Struthio camelus: one gene and its partner. The protein of the gene in region 2 interacts with the protein of the main gene of each other region in a biochemical or structural test. Links are inferred from orthologs where the notes say so. Each region holds a gene or a part of one and is shown on either strand. Other genes may lie near its edges.

Region 1 (7,311 bases), on a different chromosome or scaffold from region 2:
CTAAATGAACACGAGTGAATGCTTCAACCTTCTCTGTGCTCCCTCATCCTACTCACCCCTCTCTAACCTCATAATTATTGGCTGCCAGCAAAAATATGTAGCTCTCCTCTGTCCCTGACTATGATGGATGTCCTATTTTTGGCCTCACTGGGTTGCTGCCACCGTTTAATGAAGCTACCAAGTTCAGGAATTTTGCTATTAAAGACATGATGTCCATCACTTCTCTGATTTCCCAAACTGGAACACGAGTCCAGATTTAGACATGCCTGCCAAATGAACAGCCCAAAAACCTACTGTAAAGGAGCAAGCAATGAACATCGCATGGATGCTGGTACCTTGCTACCTCCATCTGCACAGCCATAACTGCAACTGAGCGCAACACGTGTCACTGGGCCTACCAGGCTGATCCTACCGGGCTTACGCCAAACACCTATGCTTGGTAATACTTAACAATATTAACGTCCATAACTCTTGCTCCTCCCCAGCCTTCAAGAGCAGCAGCTTTTGTTCCATTTACTTAACATTTTACTCTATTAATTATTCCAGTGCTTCAACGGTAACTCATACTCTGCAGTTGGCTCTATTTTCTTTACTCTGAAGAACACTATTCTTTCTAAAAGCAATTCCTCAAGAACAGTACCACATTGCAACTGTTCAATAAAACCGAGGTTTTGTTAACTTCCGATACCTTTGGTCTCATACCCGACAACAAGGTTTCCTTTCCTAAAATTGCCTTTTCATCTTACTGGCAAAGCACAAAGGACCAACACTTTGGTCAGGGGCCTGCATCAGCCACATACGCCCATGCTGGACTGTGCAGTGTTACCATGCGCTAATTACACGCTCCTACCGTTTTGACGAGAGACCAGGACATATAACTAGGGAACAGCATCTGCCTGTTCACAAAAGCTCTCTGCTCACCCCGTAAAAAATCACGCAATATTTCCCCGTGATGGAGTCAGCAACAGGAGGCACCAGAACGATGCCTGTCTAGTTAAATTTAGTTCTTTGGGAGTAATAGTTTTGGTGTATATTTGGACAATAAAGATAAGCAATTTTCTACCCATCAAGTCCCTGTGCCATTAACTCTTCAGTAATGCTAATGGAAGTACTGCACGAGGTAAAGCTACAAGTAATAGACCACATGGTACCACAATTCATTGCGGTGGAACAGTAAAATGACAAGAATTTGTATTAAAACAGAAGAAGCTTCCTGTTACTCCCTTCTGGTAGAGATTTTATTTTTGGCCAAACGTTTTTCTGGAAAATAACTTTCTGAACTACTCTGTGGGAACGTGCCAGTTTATGCAGAAAAGAATATCCAGTGAATCCTCGTTCACTGGGAGAAAGGGAGAGAGTGGCTGACTGAGAGCACCAGTCATCTGACTGCAGCCTACTACCGCGTCTGTTTTCCAAGAAAATCTTGTAGAGGTCTTAATTTCCCAAGGGCAGAGAGCAGTGATTCTTTTCCAGAAAATTCCATGAGAGAGCTGGGTCGGGTGAGTTTCTGCCTCCTGCTCTTGAATTACAGAAACCAAACCCTTTGTTCATTCAGCTCCATTGTTTTTTAGTTAAAAATCAGCCAATATATAGCTTTGTAAGGTTTCACTCGCCTCCCATAAATCAAAATACAGCTTTCCATAGACTTAGCAATGCTTTGTACCAGACTCCTCAAGTGCCACCGGAGTCAAGAGCCACTTGGAAACAGGCCCTCACTGACCTGTGTGGATGGTGAAAGCAAACACTGTAACGGGTCCAAAATTCAAAGTGTGCTTTATGCATCTTCCAAGTGCTACTGAAGCCTGACATAGCTGTTTAGCCACCAAAAAGAAAAAAAAGAAATTTTGATTACGTATAGGGTAGAGACGGTAGCTTGCACTTGCGCTCTCTCTCTCTCTCTCTCTATATATATATATATATACACATATAAAATTGAGTCTCCAGGGAATTGCCACCTGCCTTTATACAATGAGCCCTGCGAAACCGTGATACTGTTACCAGCGTGATGTAGCTTCCCCACCAGAACCAATGCAATGCTCATTTTAAACTTAGCTCACACCACTCACTAACAAGCCAAATTGTTACCCTTGGTCTTCACGATTCTTTACAGACTTACTCCATGGCTTTTTTTTTTTCTTGTGATAAAGAGAAAAAAAAAAGGCGGGGGGGGGGGGAGAAGAAGCTTTCGGAGGCAGCATACGAGTACAGAAGGCACACTGCAATTATTTACAATCTTTTGTACTGCTTTGGTATTTATTACAGAGAACGAAAAACAAAAAAATCTGCAAAACTGAAAGACAGGCTTACGGCCCGAAGAATGTGTTTTGACAGTAAGGTAGAGCACCTCAGGAACAGCTTCTCGGCTCCCTGCCCCAATCACCCCTCAACTCCCACCAAGCGCCAAGCCCCGTCGAGAGACCCCTTACAGCCGCCGCGTGTTTTAAGCCAGGAAGTGCCCCGGTTCAAGGGCTGCAGCAAACGCCAACCGGACGGCCCCTTCCTCCCACCCGCCGGAGGACGCGGGCTGCGGGCTGAAAGGGGGCTTCCCGGCCGGGGTGCCCGCTTTTGGGCAGAGCGCCGGGCACCAACGTTTCGGTCTCGCCCGGGCGCCTCAGCCCCGGCCAACCGCCCCCCAAACCGCCGCCGCCGCCCCGGGCTGGCGCCCCGCCGTGCCGGCGGCGCTGCCCCCGCTCCCCCCGCCCTCCCTTTTCGGCCCCGCCGCCGCCGGCCCCCGCTCACTTTCCCGCTCTCGTCCACCCCCAGCAGGTGGCCGTGGAGGATCTCCATGGGCGCGGCGCGGCGCGAGTGCACGAAGGTGCCCCTGAAGACGTGGGCCAGCGGCGGGTGCTGCGAGGAGCCCATCGCGGCGCCGGCGCTGAGGAGGCTGCCAGCTGCCGCGCAGCGGGCTGCAGCCGCTCGATGTCTCTCGGCACCGACAGCGGCTTCCTGGACCTGTCAACATTTCCCCACCCCTTCCCTTCCCCCCCGCAAAGCTTCTTGCCCCGCGGGGAGTGGTTCCCGCCGCCGGCCGGCTCCTCCCGCCGGGCGGGTGCCCGCTGAGGGGAGGCGGTGGCGGCAGCCGCGGCCGCCCCGCCGAGGCCTCTGCCCCGGCGGCCGGGCGACCCCCGTCCTGCTGCCAAAACAGACAAATAGCGCCAGCAGGCAGGGGACAGGGGGCAAACTCGGTGCTTCCTGTTGCTGACGCACATGCGGGATGAGGCCGGCCGCCCTGAGAGGCGCGGAGCCCTGGCGCAGCCCCCGCGGGTGTTTGGTCTCCCCCTTACCGTGGCTGGTTGGTTCTCCTGTTTGTTTTTCCCCTTTGCCCCCCCAGCAGCCCCGATGTCTTCTGGCCTAGTGGGAAGTGAAACAGGCTTGGAAGTCATCAGGAAACACCAAAAATGGAACAAAGCGAGACTTGAATTTTATTGTTTGTAAAGCACGTGATTTTACTGAAACAAAACATTTCTGTCTAGTTCTACGCGTTGCCAAAGTAGCAATAACTAACCAACTTCCAAAGGGAAATCAGTACCCTTGAAAGCAGAACTTTTGCATGTTTTCTTCTCAGGAAAGATAACGTTATCACATTAATAACATGGCACAATACACAGAAATGTGGATTGTGTGTGTTTTCCCAGAGCAAGGTAGCTTGCCGTGGACTTCTTACAAAGGTACAAGCCTGTAACAGATGTTTTTAATAAGTGTGTTTCATTTACAAAATAAGGAGCTGCAGGCTCACAAGAGAGAGTTCTTAGGAAGACTGACAGCTACAGAAACAGCATCAGCGGTGCTTTCTGAGCGCCTCTGGCTTTTTCCAGGAAGTGATGACAGACCCGATAAGATGACTCACAGTAGTTAGTATATCCAGTGACTGATCTTTACAACCAAACCAAAGGCTGTAACCAGCTTCAGAAGCTTCATTTACAGGGTTCCTTTGGTTAGGCTTGCAACTGCAGGTGTTGCCCTGCGCCTGGAACATTATTGGACAATTTCAGAATAGAGCTAATCTTAAAATACTATAATATTAAAGGTGTGTTTCAGGTAGATGGTAGTTCCTGCCCCATCTATCCATTCTGCTGTACTCAGTACTTAATCTCTCTCTTACCACAGATTGTCTCCTAGGTCCTCTGCTCCTATGCTGTACATTAGTAGGATACAGGAGCAAAAAATCGATGCCAGCTGAAGCACTTCAGCTACCAGAAGAAAGCAGCCAACTGTTTCATTCAGCGGAGAGGGTCTATAGCAAAGGAGAAAGAAGCCCTGGGAAAACGAAAGGGAGAGAAGAATGAAATTTGTTAACTCAGAGAATTGCTCCAACAACTTAAGTTAATGTATATTATATATATACATTATTTATAATTAGGTGTTATTTACGTAATATATGAACATGCACTAAGATGATTTCTAGGGAGAATATTTGGATAAGAGTTCATGGGACATAGTAAAACCCTTTTCTTAATGTGAGAAAGCCAGAATCAGGGGTAACACTATGAATGTCCTGCCACTGAAAGTCACCTTGCTTCATCAGATAGAAAAGTGGTAAACAAAATTGCCATCCAAGGCTCTGGTACTGCCATTTTCAAAGCTGGATTACCAAGTTTATTATTACATAGTTTATCATAAAAGACCTTTGCCCATCCCACTGTGCTGACACTATACAAACATAGCAGGAGATAATCTTTCCTCTAAGCTTTCCAGATAAGTGGAGGGAGGAGACAAAGACACAGTGGGAAAGCACAGAACAAAGGTAATTTTAGTCTGCTCAGTGCACCTCATCTACCTTTGTTGTGCCATCTTTGAATGAGAATACTTCTAGGTTCACGTGAAGTAAATTAAAAAAAAAAAAAAAGTGGATTTACTGAAGCCAGCTGAAAGCTCTTACCTTGACTTCACTAGTGGTTCCGTCAGGCCATAAACAATATCCAGAATAAAATGGATAGGTGAAAGTGACTCTCACACTCTAAGATTGTTCATTTCCTGTGAGAGGTCTCATAGTTCAAGAAGATGCTAATAAGTTTTTTTTTTTTTTAAGAAGCTGCAATTTTTCACTGTATTTCTAATCTCTTTGACATGAGAAGCCAATAAAACACAAATTGGTCTTACAGGTTAATCTAGTTCGGAGAAGAAATTGCATGAGGGTCTTTCTTGCAATTCAGCTTGCTTACAAGATTGTAATACTTCATGCTTCTTTGAACAACAGAGTAATACAACAACACTGGATAGTTTCCTAAAAAATAGCACCAAGTGTCTTTTAAGTTAGCATTTACGAAAGCTTTCTTATAAGGACATTTCTCAGAGTAACACTACTGTGTTTATCAAAGCAGCAGCTGAAACCACTTTTTATCCATATACCAAGTTGTGATCCCAGGCAGCTGAAATGGTATTTGGCTGCCTTAAGAATAAGAAGCGAGAGCTAGGCTGCTTTAGCCATTAAATGCAAAAAGGTAGAGGGAGTGGAGCTGCAAAACAGTCAAACAGAGAGCCCTGGAGAGGTAAACTTATCACTCTTCCTCCCGACACAGGAGCGAGGACAACTTTCCCCAGCAATAGCTCCTGCCCTTTACACAGCTTGGCTCTGCCCTTGCAGCAGCAACTAGCCTCAGCTCCCAGGGCAAAGGAGGTAGCGAGGCCCCAGGGTATGCAGTCTTCCGCAGTATGCTGCCCTAGGTATCTGCGCTTCATTCACACTCACATCAGGCTACGTGTGGCTCTTTGCTTCTCATCCTGAGGTCTTGTCCTGGCTGCTGCCCAGGTCCACGTGGCCTGCTGGCCAAAGCAATATTCAGCAGAACTCGTACACTTTTGCTAAATCGTTATTCCTGAGAAGCCCTTGATTTGCATTTGGAGGTGGTGGGGGGATGCGTGCTGCCTCTGAGAATTTCTATGTCAACCATGTTCTTCCATTAGGAATCTCAGGGATTTCTTTCAACTGCCTTACAGAAAGATTGATACTTATTCCAACAGTTTCAGTGAGATTTAATCCAACCAGTATTTTATGCATGAGAAAAAAATCCAGAAACAGTGAAAGTTTCTTCCTTTAGAACTTTTTGGAAGAAATATGAATAATAAAAACTGTTAATTGTCAATCTATTGCTATAAGTGGATTCCAAACACTATGAAGACATATAATTGAACTGTTAAAAGAACTAGACTTCTCTTCTGCTTTTCCCAGCTGTGAGAGAGCATGTGAGACTCTTAAGAGGGCTGATGAAAGAACAGTTAAAACCCTTTCCCTCCTCGCAGACCTTTTTTCGTTATTAGCTTGTGAAGCTCACAGCTGCATACCCAAAATATTGGGATGGCTGCAGATGAGACCTCAACCAGCTGTGATAAAATGGGTCAATCTTCCATGATACTATAAGAGGACTGCTCAAAGGTGTGCTTGGTTTGTCTGGGGTAGAAATTGAATGGTTTATGATGATTGTTGGTTACTATTTAACTTAAAAAGTAATTGTAATAGCCTGCTCTTAATTTTGCTAAATGGTTAATGGTCTACAGTGAAAGATATAGCTTCTTACAAATTCCTTAAGAAGGTTTTGTTTGACTAGCAATTTAAAACAAATCCCAGCTTTAGCAGCTCTTTGAACTCATCGCACCTGGATTAACATGTTCATATTAAAGTAAATAATCACCATACTTTGACCCACTGCTGTTCAAAAAAAAAAGTCTATTTCGTTGTCTTTTGACTCAGTTTTAGAAGTTAAGTGAAAATCAGGTCTAGTCTGAGTTCTGAAGCTGAGCAACAATAGAAAATTTAGTCAAAGTATTTTTAGAGCATCAGAATAGATTTTAGCAGGATTAGAATGTCACCCTAAATTCTCATTAACTGTTCCACTTTTTGATATTTTCTTTCATTTGGTGGACTTTACAAAACAAGAATTCAATGCCTTGTTTTCAAAGTTTTGGAGCAACTCTGTTCATCTAGTAATACGTGAGAAATGTAAGAAAGAGGAACCTATTTTTAATTCCCTGCTTTCAAAAAACAATTAATAGGTACATGCCACCCAGTGGAAGCTCCTATCTTCAGGACACTGATAAAATACATGCCAGCAGAGCCTGAGCCTCAGGGTACAAAAATTATTGATCTGATATAGAAGTTAATGTTGTTATTTGCATTTGATTACCAAAGTATTCCTTGTGAATATTTTGTAACATAGCAACTAAGCCAATGGAGAAACAAAATAAAATTGATTTCTCTTTTATTGATTGATTTTTATCTGAAAATGAAAGCACTAAGTAGGTAGGAAATACTTGGGGCTGTTCAGAGAATGAAATAAAGGGCAGCATGGTTTATATCTACTCACAGAGAAAAGC
Region 2 (7,695 bases):
GGGCGTCACTGTGCAGGCGAGAGGAGGGGTTTCCAGCACTTCGCTCCTCTCGCCGCTGCGGCTCAGGGATGCTTCCCTGTAAGGCACTGCCATTCCTCCCTCAAAGCAGGGAGTCCTCTGCTCACCCCAGCCTGGCACGGGAGGACTCGCGTCTCCGCCAGCACAGCGAGGGGCACCTGGGAGAGCGCAGGGCACGGAGCCGGACAGAGCCGGTGAAGGAAACAACGGAGAGCAGCAAGGAAAGCAAGTGCATGGAAAATGAACTAATAAATAGGGGACAGATGAGAGAGCAAGGGAGGAGAAACAGAAGATCTAGAAAGGGAGAAAGAGCAAGGGAGAAGAAAAGCAAAGCAAAGAGAAACAAGAAACCCCAAGCTCAGAAATTTCCTGTCTCCCTATGGCCAGGATCAGGGGTTCTCAATTACTGGCATTGCCTGAGCAAGCTAATTTGTGTCCTACAGAAGGGGAGCGGGATGAGGAGAGAAAAGATGGGTCGCAGGAGATGGGAGGAGGCACGCATTAATGCTGGGACTGGGCCGTGCTGGGCAGCACGCGTGGGCATGCCTTGCATGCGGTGTGTGAGCACGTGTGATGTCGGGGAACATACACCGCCATATGCAGCCGCGAGCACGTTTCACATGGCAGAGCGTCTGCACACACGGACGCCCCGGCACATGCACTGGGCATATTCTCCTCTGCTTGCATGCAAAGTGGAGCAGAAAAAGGCTCTGACGGGAGATGGAGGAGCTCCCAGAGAGGTGAACAGCTCCGCTCTTTGTACAGGGAAACCTCTTGGCCCGCTCTTCCTCCTCCTCGCTTTGCCTGCGCATTCGTTTCCACCTCTATTGTTGGAAGTGCTTCCAGGGACATGTATATCATTTAAAGGGGCAGTCCTGCATAATGGCAGACTCGCTGTTATCCTAACGCTGTCGAGGACCGAGGCGCTTCCTCTTCATTTCCTGCACAAAATATCAGCTTTGCACCTGCAGCATCCAGCCAATTCTACCCTGAGCATGACATCTCCCAGGCTGCCAGTGCCAAACCAATCTGCCTCCATGCAAGCTGTGCACAGCTGTTTTCATTTCACCACCTTTTGTCCCTCTGCCCACAACCGGACGGTGAAGAACATGGATTCCTAAAGGCTCCGACACCTTGCACCTTCGGAGCAGAAGGGGAGCTTTGCCGACGTATTCGCTGCAAAGCTTTACCCATTGCACATATTTGCTACACAGCAGGGAGCAATCCTGTCTTCTCCGATACGGGCAGTGCACATACCACACACACGTCATACTATACATGCAGAGCCCACCACGCTCACGTAGCCTCACACACAGGCATCGGCCTCGCTGCAGCTGGGGATGCCGGGCGAAGGTTTTGATTTTTTTCAACCTCCAGAAAGGCTACGACCGAGCAGAGATTCACAACTAGACTTTCCAACCAACGCAACCCCTAGGGCTCCGAGGCAGCACCACAAAGAGACAATGGTTTCTCTTCCACCATTGCAAAGCATGAAAGGCTCCGCTGCCCAGCCTGCCACGGCAGTAATGCAGCTGGCATTTCTCCCCTTCCATCCTGCTTGCAATCATCTTACCAGGAGCCCTGGGCTGGTCCTTTCATGCAAGCAGGAGGGGAAATGAGGGAACAGACCTGCTTCGATTTCTCTGCTCCCATCCAGCTCCCAGGGCTCAATGCACTGGATGGAGCAAAGGAAAGAGATAGCAAAGGAAAGATGAAAAACGCTTGCAGTCAGCAGGCAAGAGAGAGACGAGACCGATTTTGATGCAAAGGGCGGCAGATAAACAGACAGGAACCAGGAACAGGCTGATAGGAAGGTGGCTGGGGTTTTGGGTGCTTTCTGTAAACATCATCTGAGCATTTCAGCTTCGATTCAGATTAATTCAACCAGAGCTACAGATTTAGACAGTAATGAAGAAAAACACAGGGAAGGGAAGAAGAGGGTTATGTTTTGTGAGGGGAAAGGAGGGGAGAGTTCCAGTTGATGCCTGTGTATCTGCCTGCATACGGCATCTTGAAATAATAATTAGAAGGATCAATAAGAAAACATGTGAGGTTTGAAGATAATGAATGAAAGAGTCAGAAGCAGCAAATTGAAATGCCTTTCCCTAAAGCTTGGTAAATTGTTTTTCAGGCAGGGTCTAGCCTCCATTTTAATGCTTTGCAAACAGCTCCAACCATTTTCTAAGCTGGCTTGTGGGTTCAAAACAAGAATGGCCCCTCCATTTAGAGGGGGGAGAGAGCCCCAGCCTGCGGATGGGTCCTGAAGGAAGACACGGACGAAACGGACGCGCGTGGGAAGGGATGGAGGCAGCGCAACGGGGCAGAAAGCACACCGCCCGCCAGCGAGCGGGGAAGGGGTTACGTAACCACCGAGGGGAGCAGGGACCCGGCGGGCAAAGCAGCCGCCCAAGGCGGAGCGGGCGGCGCTCAGCGGGCAGCGGCTCGGCGCCCGGCGAGGGCAGCGCGACGGCCGCCTCGACGGGGCTCCCGCCGCCCCGCGCCCATCCCGGCCGCGCCGCGGCGGCTCGCTCCCGGGGAGCGGGGGCCCGGTGGCGGCGCAATCCCCCCCCCCCCCCGGCGCTGGCCCGTACCTGCTCGTACCAGTCGCGGCTCGAACACGTGCACTCGGGCCACCAGCCCGGGCCGCTGCCGTTCACCTTGGGCGCGCTCTTCCCCGGCGGCGGCGGCGGCGGCGGCTTGAGCGCAGCAGCGGCGGCGGCGGCGTCGCGGGCGGGGGGCCCCAGCTTGGCCTTGCCGCGGGCGGCGGGCGCGGCCCCCCCCGGCGCCGGCAGCGTCTGCGAGCCGTAGCCGCCGTAGCCGTATTGCTCGTGCTGCCACTCGCCGTACGAGGGGGGCTCCATGCGCCGCAGGGCCGCCATCCGCGTCACCTCGTAGCACTCGGGGCACTTGCAGCAGTGGTGGTGCTTGTGCATCGCTGCCCTCACACCATCGAGCCGGCAGCGAGGCGGGAGGCGGGCGCGGAGGGAGGGGAGGGATGCGCGGGGTGGGGGGGGGGGGGAAGGCGGGCGCGGCCCCCGCCCCGCGCACGCGGCGCGCCCGGCCGCGCGGTTACCTCCGCGGGGCCGCGCTCCGCATGGCCGCGCGGTCCCGGCGCCGCTGCCTGCGCGGGGCCGCCGCCGCTCCGCTCCGCTCCGCGGCACCTGCGGCGGAGCCGAGCATCCTCCTCCCTCCTTCCCCCTCCACCCCGACCTCCCCGCCGCGGCCAATCCGCTCCCGCGGAGCCTCCGCGCACCGCCCCGCTGCGCGCCGCCCGCCGGGCCGCCGTGGCTCGCCGCCACCCTTAACGGCGACCCCAAAGGCTGCGAGCCCCGGGACGGCTCGGCCCCGGCCCCGGCCCCGGCCGCGCCTCAGCGCAGCCCTTGCGGGAGCCCAGCAAGGAGAGAAATCCTGGGCCGCCCCGACGCTTCTGGGCTTCGCCTGCAGCCGCCCCCTTATGCCCGTGCCCGGGTTGGGGTGCGCGGGCTCCCCAGCGCCCCAGGCACGCTCTTGGGCTGTCCCTGTGACTCTGGAGCCAGCGCAGCGGCGGGCAGTCCCGCCAGCTCTGCGACGCGCGCTAGCAGGAGCTCGGTTCCCATCAGCTGTGATCCGCAGCAGGATATGAAATGAGTTTCCCAGGGCTCAAAGCCAGTGCAGCAGCAGCAGCAGCTCTGTTGCCATCCCAACAGCAGCTCTGGCTCCGCTTTGCTAGGGCTGTGCACGTGGCTCATGCAGCACCCTGGCATCACTGCCATTGCCCTGCGAGCCAGGGTCTAGGAAGCTCAAGGACCTCACCTGGGCCATCCACCAACTGCCGTCAGGGGATGGCAAAAGCAGGGCGCGCGCTGGGGGCGCTGCAGAAACCTCTGCGGGGGGGAGCAGGGCGCGGGTGCTGCTCCCACTGCAGCGCTTGCAACAGAAGTGCCAGAATGGAAGAAGTTCAGAAGAAAGTCACCCAAACAAATCAAAGGGTGGAAAGAAAGGCCGGTGCAAGAAAATATATTTGACAAGTCAGGAGAACCTGAACTTGGACTTCTAGTTCTTGAAGGTTGTAATGAACGCTGGGGCAGGTGAAGAATTACTTAGGGAAAAGGTACATAACTACGTAGAACAACAGTGGGATGAAGGTAGAGTATTTAAAGTTAGGCTAGATACAGGCCTAGCTGCTGCTGAGAAGAATGATCTTGCTTGAGGCATGGGCTAGGTTGGCCCAGTCTCATTCTGCGTCACGGAAGAGGCACTGGGCAAGGCCGAGGGTTGTCGACGCAATCTATGACGGTGATTTGAGAGAAGCACGAGAAAGCCCGCTGGTCGCTATGCTTCCCTTTGGCAGACAGGTATCCAATAAAGATGAATCATTATTAGCACTTTTTGCCTCTTTTGGATGACAGTAAATCAGTAGTAGGTGCTGGCATTACAACCAGCGCAGCTGAGGTGTTGTGGAGCCATTGCAGTGGCTCCACTTTTACCTGGTTCAACAGTCCCATCCTTCTCTCCTCCGAACCCCCCTATCCTGCCCCTCTGCTGCCTGTACTGTGGGCACCCGCTCCGCAGGCCGTGGTGGCCAACCATCCTGATTTAGGCTGCTTGCTGGCCTCCGAACAGCTGGCACAACACGGCCCTGCTCAGAGGCCAGGCTTTGGGAGGAGGAAGCGGGTGACAGAAAAACAAATGCCCTTGCATGCCTCTTGTTTCCTTAGCTCTTGAAACTGCAATACAAAAGTACTTTTGTACTTTACTGCTGTGGACAAATGGGCTCTGGCAGTGTTCATTCCCAAGTGGTCGAGGGCAGCAGTTGCTCCCGGGTGTAGGGGAGGGGGCAGAAGACCCCTGTCCTTGAGACCCGCATTGTCCCAGGAGCCCCAAGCACTGAGGTCCCCATCACGCTGTCCTGAGTCCTTCGTCTCCTGCATTGGCTGGTGTTCATTGCCTTGGGGCTGCGTGGGTGACCTCCAACACAGAATGGACATTTCAACCATTTGCTGCTCCATGCCTGATGCCATGGGGCTGTGCTGCAGCTCAGATACGTTCACACAGAAAATAGTCTGGCTCCCAAGCTCAGGACGCTCATCAAGTTCACAGATAGGCAAGTTCAGAGAACCCTGTCCCTCCATGCCAGTGTTGAGAGCACTGCATGCTGTCTGAGCCCTGGCAGACCAGTTTTCTGCTGGTGAGTCTCTCTCAGCAACGCTGCTAGCCCTGCTGCTCCAAGGAGTTCTCGGTGGTGCACGCTCAGGCCGGGAGGCCTGCACTGGGTGACAGGCACCCTGCACCCCGAACACGCTGCAGCACCGACCCAAAGAGCCAGGAGACACAGCAAGATGAAGCCAACGGCTGCAAGTAGGAAAAGGCTTTTACACTGCAGAACTTGCTGCTATAGGACACTGCAAACACCAAGAACTTACTAAGTCAAAAAGGGATTGGACATATACATGGATAACAAGCCCCTTCAAAGTTATTTTAATCAAAGAAAAAGTGTGTGTGTGTGTGTGTGTGTGTGTGTGTGTGTGTGGAGGGAAAGCTTGCAGCATTGGAACTAATGGAGAAATTTATACTTCAGGCTTTAAGCAATTAGGATCATGTCTACATCTTCTACCACTCCTTGAGCCACCTCCCAAAGCACTTGGTGCTGACCCTGCAGAAAGGATGCGGGGCTGGGTCTGATGATCCCTGTGCTTCGGGGGGATGCTGGGGGACGTTATCTGTGGAGAGTGGGCATCTTGCTGCCGTGAGGGCAGAAGCGGGAATGAGGGGACGGACTGGGACGCTAACGAAGCTGCCTGAGGCTGTCGCCGCACCAAAGCAGAGCCATGAGCTGGAAGCCTTGCAGAAACAGGCAGGAGGCCAGTGCCTCCTGCACAAGAGTCAAGAGACACAAAGCCCATCTTGGCTACCCTCCACCTCCCACCCTGTGACACCTGCGAGACCTGAGTGACTTCATCATCAAAAATAGAGGTGCCCAGAATCTATAACATACTGATAATTAACTACTGCTCTGACCTAGCAGCAAGACTGCTTCCAATAGCAGTTCCCACCCTAGAAAATGGCACTTTTCAACCACAGGGACTGTGTGGTGCAGAACCTCACTGGCCACAGTGGGTCCAGGGCCTTCTCCACTGCTATGAATGACCACCAAAGCCAGCTCTGGGCCACAGTCAACAGAAGACCCATGCCTGGAAGAGACTGATTTGGTCTTGGTGGGGAAGGGCACATGCCACCTTTGTAACCCTAGCTATGCAAAACAAAGGATGAGACCTGTTGGGGAAAGATGCTTTAATAGGGAGCTGAATGAACAGTCAAGAGAAGCATTTTGATCTCTTTTCTCCGCGGCAGACTGGAATGTGTCCTCCAGCAGGAAGGCGCTCTGGGAGTCCTGCAGACAGCCTTCGAGCGCAGCATCATTGCCTTCGCCCCCCCCTTCCCTTGCCAGCACACCATCTTGGGAGGGCTCCATGATCTAAATCTTCTGTTTCTTCTCCCAACTCTCTTATTGTCAGTGTCTAACCACCACCTGCAAACAGAGGGCTCCTGTCCTCGTGCCTCACGTGCTGCAGCTCTCATGGATTTCATCCGAGCTTCCTTCGTATCAGCTTGCAGTTCCCTTCCTGAAAGCCTGCATCTTCCATTTTTGCTCCACTGCGCTGTCCCTGCTGCAAGAGTCGTTTAATTCCTACTTGTTTACGGCAAGCTGCACATGTCATCTGCTGGCCCAATTAAGAAAAAACCATCCCCGGTTGCTGCTGCCTGTTTGCGATGCTCCCTAACACTGTGAGTGGCTTGAGACACGTTATCACGTAGAGAAGACTGGCTGTGCTCGACCGGAGGCCAGTGCCAGCTGGCTACATGCATCTGCATCTTGCATCGCTGGAGGTGTCTCCCGCGGACATCGGCATCTCCAGCTGTGGGGAGCAATGCTGCCAGAGCCCGAGGGGTGCAAGCGGCTCCGCTGCTACATCCCAGTCTGGGTCTAGAGGGGCAGACACAGGGTCTGGCCACCTCCAGGCAGATGTGGGCTTATTGCCCCAGTTAGCTGGTCATCGAGCACCACTCAAGGTCCTCATTTCCAGACAGATGCCTTCACCGAGGGGAGCTTTTTAAGGCAACCAAGCATTCGCTGATCCCATCCTCTTCCTACCAGCAGCCTGCCCGTCTTATTTAAATTCAGCTTTGGCAGCTGCTCTTTTTACAGGTGCTAATTTCAGCAATGCATCAAGAAATCCCAGGAGACGGTGCTATTTACACGGCCCGAGGGCGGTGCAGAGCTAGGTTTTATCTGGCCTTGCGGCATCTCAGCCCCTGTTGTCGCTTCCTCGCTCTCACACGGAGTCCTGCGGGAAGAGGAAGGCAAGCGTGAGGGAGAGGCTCAGAGGTGCAGCCTTCGTCCTTAGCAGCCTTTCAAGGTCACTCAGAAGGACGGGATTTGAGCCATTTCAGGGAGTCTCTGTGGCATCTGCAGCTTTTCTAGGAATGGGGCAGAAGTGTTTGAGGATGAACAGCTTCAAACACTGCTTGAGACTGACCGGTCTGAAGGCAGCCTGCTCCTCGGAGGCAGAGGACGGTGACACAAGCGCCGTCACACTGGTCCTTTCTGCACTTGCCTTTAGCCCAGGCGGGAGCTGGAGTCTTGCAGGAGGAACCTGGTCGCTGTCAGAGCCTCTGCGACCGGGCGGCCTTTACGAA

The links.
Region 1: the proteins of DLG3 (region 2) and GDA form a complex in vitro, tested with the Homo sapiens proteins (2 studies listed by BioGRID and IntAct, with this or other methods). The link is inferred for Struthio camelus from reciprocal best matches to the Homo sapiens genes DLG3 and GDA.

Annotation. Positions count from the first base shown.
Region 1 is NC_090982.1:26,799,421-26,806,731, reverse strand, and holds the start of GDA (guanine deaminase), read right to left. Parts: upstream 3,014-7,311; 5' UTR 2,863-3,013; coding exon 2,740-2,862; intron 1-2,739. UniProt on the Homo sapiens protein: Catalyzes the hydrolytic deamination of guanine, producing xanthine and ammonia.
Region 2 is NC_090952.1:25,433,987-25,441,681, reverse strand, and holds the start of DLG3 (disks large homolog 3), read right to left. Parts: upstream 3,014-7,695; 5' UTR 2,952-3,013; coding exon 2,610-2,951; intron 1-2,609. Other genes in the region: disks large homolog 1-like, read right to left, coding at 7,332-7,343. UniProt on the Homo sapiens protein: Required for learning most likely through its role in synaptic plasticity following NMDA receptor signaling.